Saccharomyces cerevisiae S288C: one gene and its partner. The protein of the gene in region 1 interacts with the protein of each later gene in a pairwise test. Each region holds a gene or a part of one and is shown on either strand. Other genes may lie near its edges.

Region 1 (3,931 bases):
ATCTGGGAAAAGATAAATGCGTTAATTTAGTGAAATTTTTAATGGCAGAAAATAACTCCTTCAGCTTAACTGTTTCCGATACTAAACCCAAGTCTAAAAATTTCAAATCATGACACGATTTCAATGAAATCAAAGGCGCGTAACCAAAGCTTGTCTGTGGTGCGATGAATTTAGTTAGGTTAGAACAGCATCGTCGTAAAAGCTTGGAGACAAATGAATTTCTACCACTTTGTAAAATTGTAGACAAGTTCAACTCAAAAACATAGTGTCCTAAATTCTTCTTTTTATTTATGATTATTGTATCAACAAACCCGTTGAAATTCTTACTTGTTAACGCTGGTGCATAATAAAGCTTTGGTAGACACATGGCGTACCAGTTTCTGCAAACTAGTAAGTAGTTCATATTTATACCAGTCGTAGTTTTTTTTCCATTAGCAGTTTTATTTAATTTTTCTTCTTTCTCTGGTATATCAAGATAATGAATTATTCTATGCTGTATCTCCCATGGCAAAACCATCTTTACTGATACTGAATGCATCCTCGCTTCCTCACTCTCTATGACTTTGCCATTTTTTTCTCCTTTGGAGGACGATGTCGATGATGACGATGGCGACTGCTTACGTCCTTTTTTATCCTTTTTTTCATTACTCAGTCGTGTCAATTTCACTATAGTATCATTGGTTTCATCATAGTAATAAGACCCCTGTGGAGTCTCAATGAGTTCTGCATCCTCCGGTATAGTGATAGTGAATTCTTTAGCCTTATTATCATTTCTTGTAGAGGAGAAACCCTCTCCCGCCACGTACTTCCTGTAAGGAGCCTTGATTTTCTTGGGTCGTGATTTGTTTGCCATTACTGAGTACTGTGGTTGATATGATTATGTGTTAGAGCTGTTGCACATGTTTGTCGATGTACAAATCTTGACGATGCCGTCATATTACTCTCAATACTAGACACATCTTGTATTGACAACCCTTACCCCTCATGAAGAGGTAACCCGGCCGCAGGGCTTTAACAATAAAATAGAGACTATCATTCAACAATTACACAGTAGAAAAAAGTCAGAAGATTACTAATCTCGATCTTAAGTCTATTAGTCAATTAAATGTGGCCTAGGATTCAACTAAAAATATAGTAGTAGTGAAAAAACAAATGTTCCAACCGAGGATCGAACTCGGGACCTTTGCCGTGTGAAGGCAACGTGATAGCCGCTACACTATTGGAACAATATTACGGATGACAGCTTAGGATTCATAAAGAACTAATAAAGGTGTGGCAATAAAAATGGTGCAGCAAGTCTCAACTTTACTGCTTCTTATAGTTACTTCCTGTCGTTTTCATCACACTAACCCTTTGTTTCATTGTGCTCCCCTTCCCTTCCTTTCAATATTGCTTCCTACATCGGTCACTCTTACTTTGGTAATGAAGTAATGAAGAAAGGAAAAATAGAAAATCGAATACTAAAAATGTTATTATTTAAGGAGAATAAGAACGTAGACACTTAAGGGCGATAGTGTTTGAACAGAAAAAAATTAACTTACAAAACATGAAGGACTTGAGATTACAGGGGCCCTACAGAAAGTACATTCCCTATAATATTTTCCAACAATGTGGAATTGGTCACTTAAAGACGCTTGATTATATTTTCGCGTTTTTGATTGTTATTACCAATTTCACATTAATATGGAAATCGCACTCTTCTTCATTCTGGAACCGACCATGGGACAATAATAGTGAACAAGAACTTTCCCAATTAATTCAGTTTTACCTAGACAAGGCTTTTTACATCCATGAATTGCCACCATTTACAATACAGTTCTACTCCATTATTCGAAGATTAAAGATCGCAGAAAATTTAAGATACGTTTCTTTGTTTTTGAATTCATCGACTTTAGGTTTTCTTTTCCTGATAACAAGGAGAATCAATTGCTCTCGTTTAATTTCAGCAACAGGTTTGCTGATATTATCCAACTGGGAAACTTTCAGAAATGAGGGCACTATTATATCATTTGACAGTTTAGAATGGTGTCTGTTCTCAGTAGTAATTTACAGTTTTATAAGCATTTCAATTGCAAAACTGGGAACTACGAATTGGTTTGCTAATGTGATTACATTATCTATTTCTTTAGGGCTGGCAATCTCTTCTAAATTTATTGGAATTGTCACTTGGGCCTTCGTAATTCTTTCTTTTGTACGTCAATTTGATAGACTGATAAGCGACGTTAAAGTTACGACCATCCAAATAATAAAATTTGTCATTCTCTGTCTATTATTCGTTTTGATTATCCCTGGTTCCATCTTCATAATAAGTTATTCGAACTTACTTTCGAATTTTAAGACAGACACGCCACAATTTTCAAAATATATGAGCACATATTTCAAGTCCTATTTAAGAGGCCCTCAAGTACAACCGAGTCGATTGTACTATGGATCAACGATCACATTACGTCATTTAGATTCTATGGTCGGATATCTTGCTTCTCACGATATTTCGTATCCATCAGATGTTGACGAACAGTTAGTAGCGTTATCATTTGAAGAATTCGCGGCAGACAATGAATGGTTAATAGAACATCCTACATTAAATTTGAGTTTTTCTGAGGTATACCATGCTGATCAATTGATACCTGTAGAATTTGGTCAAAGTATAAAACTAAGACACAAATCTACTGGAAAATTATTGAGAGCCAGCACTGCTAAACCTCCCATCAGCGAGCAGGACTATGACTTTCAAATTTCATGCACGAAAGATTCAAACTACGAAGGAGGAATGGATGAGAGATGGGATGTTCTCCTGATTAAAGATGAAATCAACAATGATAAAAAGGATAACGCAGATGATAAATACATTAAACCGCTTCAATCAGAGATACGCTTTTACAATAACGGCCAGAGATGTGGGCTATTGGGCCATGATCTTCGGTTACCTGAATGGGGCCGCTTTGAGCAAGAAGTCCTATGTATGGAGTACCCAGTAATACCAAGAACCACTTTTCTAATAGACTCAGTACAACTACCAGTCGATTTCCAAGTCCCAATGATAGAATATTATATCGGCAAAATAAGTTCTTCAGCAGAATTCAATCATACCTTATCTTGGTCACAATTTCTTTATCTTTTCAAAGAATATATTTTCAAACAATACAAGTACAATTACTATATTAAATACGGTAAAAATAAGGTCACTTTTGAAGATGCGTTCGCCGTGGAAAAATGGCCAATTACGTTAGACACAGACTCTCCAGTTTGGTTTAATTTTGCATGGTATGGATCCTTACTCTCGATGATCATTTTCATGTGCGTGCAATGTAAGAGAATGATATCTTGGAATCCGTGGACAACTGCTGAACCTTCCTTTTCTATCAAATGGGAGGTCTACAATGAATTTGGCTGGGAGTGCATTGTCGGTTGGTTTTTACATTTTTACATCTTCACAATGAGTCCACACTTCAACTTGGGGAAAAAACTGTACTTCCAAAGTTTTTTCTTTAGTGTATTGTGTCTTTTAGAATCGTTAGATTGCCTTGCAAAGTAACTCGTAGAAAGATTTTCTCCATTATGATTTTTCTCCCATTGCTTCAATAATTCTCCGGTACAAATAGAGTAGCACAATTATTTATAAGAATAACATACATACGCTTAACTCTGCCATATAACTATAGTACATTTTCTGTCCTCTGTTCGCAAATTTCTTTGTAAAACTTAAGTTTATGTGCTCTTTTTTGAGTTTGCAATGCCATCTACAAAATCTTCAATTAAAGAATCAACGTGCCTTAAAAGTTTCTCCTTCTTTTTGATGGCCTCAATTTTTTCGTCTTCCACTTCAACTAGCTTTTTCTGCAACATATCAATCTTCCTTAATTGCTCTTCAGCTGAAACGTCAACACCAGGTAACGAGTCAATAAGCTTGTTTATCTGTCTTGTTTTAAGT
Region 2 (3,931 bases), on another chromosome or scaffold:
AGGCGTCGTTTTTCTAGCTGCTGCTTCACGTTTTATGGAGTCATATTCTGGTCTAAAAAAATTATACTAGGCAGGTAATGGATTGTTTTAAGTTTCTTGTTAACTCACATAGGATCTTTTTTGAGTACCTTGTGAAATGGTTAGATTTGATACCTTATTTTTTTCCAACATTACATTATTTTAGTATCGTTCAAGTTCTCCTTTACTTTTAGAGATTACGCCTACATTATGTATGCCGAACTTAGTAGGAACTATTTGTACGCAAAACATGAATTGTTTGTCGTGTCTGCATACATTAGTGTTGACAGTCAGAGAACTTGATTTTAAAAATAAAAGTTTCTTGTTTACAAAAAAGTATGGTCACCCGGTGTCTTTGCTATAATGGGAACAGAAAACCATTTGCAAGACTACTAAAATACGATTTTGTAATTTGACGTTACAAATATAGGGATAGTTGATAAATAGTTACGCGCAGTTAACTTTTCCTCACCAAAGGACAGTTATTTACCTACTGATTGAAAATGTTTTGGCACAGGATACCAGTTTTCAAATTTATTAATTAATTAAGGAGAAGTGAGAAATGATTAGAAAGCAATTAAGCGGTGAAGGTCTGCTTTTTATACTTACAAGAACGTATTATTAGCAGCCAACGCACTACAGTTGTTGACTAAGTTTTGTTTTAATTTGATTCGTAGTTGTTGGTCGAATTTTGTTTTGACTTGTTTTCAGTTTCTTTTTTTTTAATGCCTGACGTTGAAGAGCACGCAGGCCTATGAAAAAAAAAAATTATACGAGTTACTTGGAATTCGCTCCCATTGCACCAATTTCAGGAAGCGATCAAAAAGAAAGCAATGTTATTCAACATAACTTTATTCATACTGTAGTAACAATAACTTCATATCAATTAGGATTCACTGTTCATTGACTTATCACTACAATATGGAGGAAACGTTGCGTAATCGTTGTCGCTATAGATATTGTCCCTCCCTTCCTCTGTGATAGTTCTTCTTTATATAACTTTCACAAAAGCTTCTGCCCTCATAGTTGCCCTCAATAAACGAAAGGCCAGATGCATACAGGTGCAGTAGTACATCCAAAGAAACATAGGGGCAAAAACCGTGTTCTAATATTAGACTGCATATATCCCCTTGTCATTAGCTTAAATCATATAGAGTAATATGTACATACAGGTTATTTTATTTGTAGCTTTCCTCCTCTTTATGGAGCAAAGTAAGCCATACGAACGGTTTACAATAGAGAGCGTCGTTTGCTTACGTGATTGTCATGTGCCTTCGTAGGCAAAGGGGATTGCACACCTTTTTACTAAACAATAGAAAAGTGAGAATTCTCTTATAGGCACTGCTGCTCCTCGTTTCTTTTTACGCGCTGTCGTTCCAGGTCCTTTTTTCGATTAACTACGGTAGTTTCAAAGAGAGTGCCTGAAGATCACTCCATATACAGGCTAGATGAACTGTAAACGAGCTCATCAGCAGCGTCCCTTTCAGTGTCACTACAGCCACAGCAGCTTACCTCCTGTACGATGTGACAGAGCAAAACACAAATGTGTGTCCTTTCTACTCTTATTTTCCAACTCGAATATAAAGACGGTGCCTTTGCCTTATTTCTAAGGCACTGAACAGTTCTAAAAGTAAAGTTTTCCCTAGCCTTAGTACCGTTTCTGTGAAGCAGTTATTGAATAGTTATTGGACATAAAAATCCATATTGAAAAAAAAAAAAACATACTTGAGAAGGCATTAGCTGAATAGTAAAGACTGCTGTAATTCATCTCTCAGTCCTTGCAGTCTGCTTTTTCTGGAATTAATATGTCAATTTCAAAGTACTTCACTCCCGTTGCTGACGGGTCACTCACTTTCAATGGCGCGAACATTCAATTTGGCGCCGATGCTCAAGGCGAGTCAAAAAAGAGTTATGACGCTGAGGACAGCATGCCGAATCCGGCAAATCAACTAAATGACATAACCTTCCAAGCAGAGGCTGGTGAAATGGTTTTGGTTTTGGGTTATCCCACATCCACTCTATTTAAGACTTTGTTTCATGGTAAAACTAGTTTGTCATACTCTCCTCCAGGCTCGATTAAATTTAAAAATAATGAGTTTAAGAGCTTTTCCGAAAAATGTCCCCACCAAATCATTTACAATAATGAACAAGATGTGCATTTCCCATTTCTAACGGTAGAACAAACAATTGATTTTGCCTTGAGTTGTAAGTTCGATATTCCAAAAGGTGAGCGCGATCAAATAAGAAATGAACTTCTAAGAGAATTCGGCCTGTCTCATGTATTGAAAACTATTGTAGGAAATGATTTTTTCCGTGGTGTTTCTGGTGGTGAGCGTAAACGTATTTCTATTATTGAAACGTTTATTGCTAATGGTTCCGTTTATCTATGGGATAATTCTACTAAAGGTTTAGATTCCGCCACAGCTCTCGATTTTTTGGAAATTCTTAGAAAAATGGCAAAAGCTACTCGTTCTGTAAACTTAGTCAGAATTTCCCAGGCAAGTGATAAAATTGTTGATAAGTTTGACAAGATTCTTATGCTATCCGATTCCTACCAGCTTTTCTATGGTACGGTCGATGAGTGTTTGACTTATTTTCGTGACACTTTAGGTATTGAGAAAGATCCTAACGATTGTATTATTGAATATCTGACCTCTATCTTAAATTTTCAGTTCAAAAATAAAAATTTGGGGAATTTATCAAATTCATCATCTGCTAGCGTTCTCAAAACCGCAACAGGGGAAGTCACTAAGTATACTTATAATTCTGATTTCGATTTATATGATCAATGGAAACATTCTTCGTACTATAGAAATATAAAGCAGCAAATCCAGGGGTCTTCAATTGATGACTCCATTAAGGAAGTGGATCCCTCTGATGTCTCACCTATTTTTAATATTCCGTTGAAGAAACAATTATTATTTTGCACAAAAAGAGCTTTTCAACGAAGTTTGGGTGATAAAGCTTATATGACGGCACAATTTATTTCTGTCGTTATTCAATCTTTGGTCATTGGTTCACTGTTTTACGAAATTCCGTTGACTACCATTGGTTCATACTCAAGAGGTTCTTTAACCTTTTTCTCCATTCTTTTCTTCACTTTTCTTTCTCTTGCAGATATGCCTATTGCCTTCCAAAGACAACCCGTCGTTAAAAAGCAATCCCAACTTCACTTCTATACTAACTGGGTTGAAACCCTTTCAACAACAGTGTTCGACTACTGCTTTAAACTTTGTTTGGTAATTGTATTCAGTATCATCCTATACTTCCTTGCTCACCTGCAATACAAGGCTGCAAGATTTTTCATTTTCCTCCTGTTCCTTTCCTTTTACAATTTCTGTATGGTGTCCTTATTCGCTTTGACGACACTAGTTGCTCCAACCATTTCAGTTGCAAATTTATTTGCAGGTATTCTGCTACTAGCTATAGCAATGTATGCTTCTTACGTCATCTACCTGAAAAATATGCATCCTTGGTTTGTATGGATTGCTTATCTAAATCCTGCAATGTACGCTATGGAGGCAATACTGTCTAATGAGCTTTACAATTTGAAGCTGGATTGTAGTGAGACAATTGTTCCAAGAGGTCCTACTTACAACGATGTTCCATTTTCCCATAAGGCCTGTGCTTGGCAAGGTGCTACTCTGGGTAATGATTACGTTAGAGGCCGTGATTACTTGAAGCAAGGTTTATCCTACACGTATCATCATGTGTGGAGAAACTTTGGTATTATCATTGGTTTCCTAGTATTCTTTATTGCCTGTACTCTGTTTGCATCTCAATATATTAAGCCTTATTTCAATAAGGATGAAATAGAGCGCAACAATAGTCGTTTGACAAGATGGCTACCATTTTTGAATAAAAAGAGAGGTACCAGGTCCTCTGCAAGAAATGACAGTAAGTATGTTGGTAT

What was found.
Region 2: the proteins of PMT7 (region 1) and AUS1 interact in a protein complementation assay, tested with the Saccharomyces cerevisiae proteins (one study listed by BioGRID).

Annotation. Positions count from the first base shown.
Region 1 is NC_001136.10:1,074,319-1,078,249, forward strand, and holds PMT7 (putative dolichyl-phosphate-mannose--protein mannosyltransferase), read left to right. Parts: upstream 1-1,546; coding exon 1,547-3,535; downstream 3,536-3,931. Other genes in the region: PFU1 (Pfu1p), read right to left, coding at 1-853; SRB7 (Srb7p), read right to left, coding at 3,709-3,931. UniProt on the Saccharomyces cerevisiae protein: Probable protein O-mannosyltransferase involved in O-glycosylation which is essential for cell wall rigidity. Transfers mannose from Dol-P-mannose to Ser or Thr residues on proteins.
Region 2 is NC_001147.6:347,856-351,786, forward strand, and holds the start of AUS1 (ATP-binding cassette sterol transporter AUS1), read left to right. Parts: upstream 1-1,823; coding exon 1,824-3,931. UniProt on the Saccharomyces cerevisiae protein: Transporter involved in the uptake of sterol.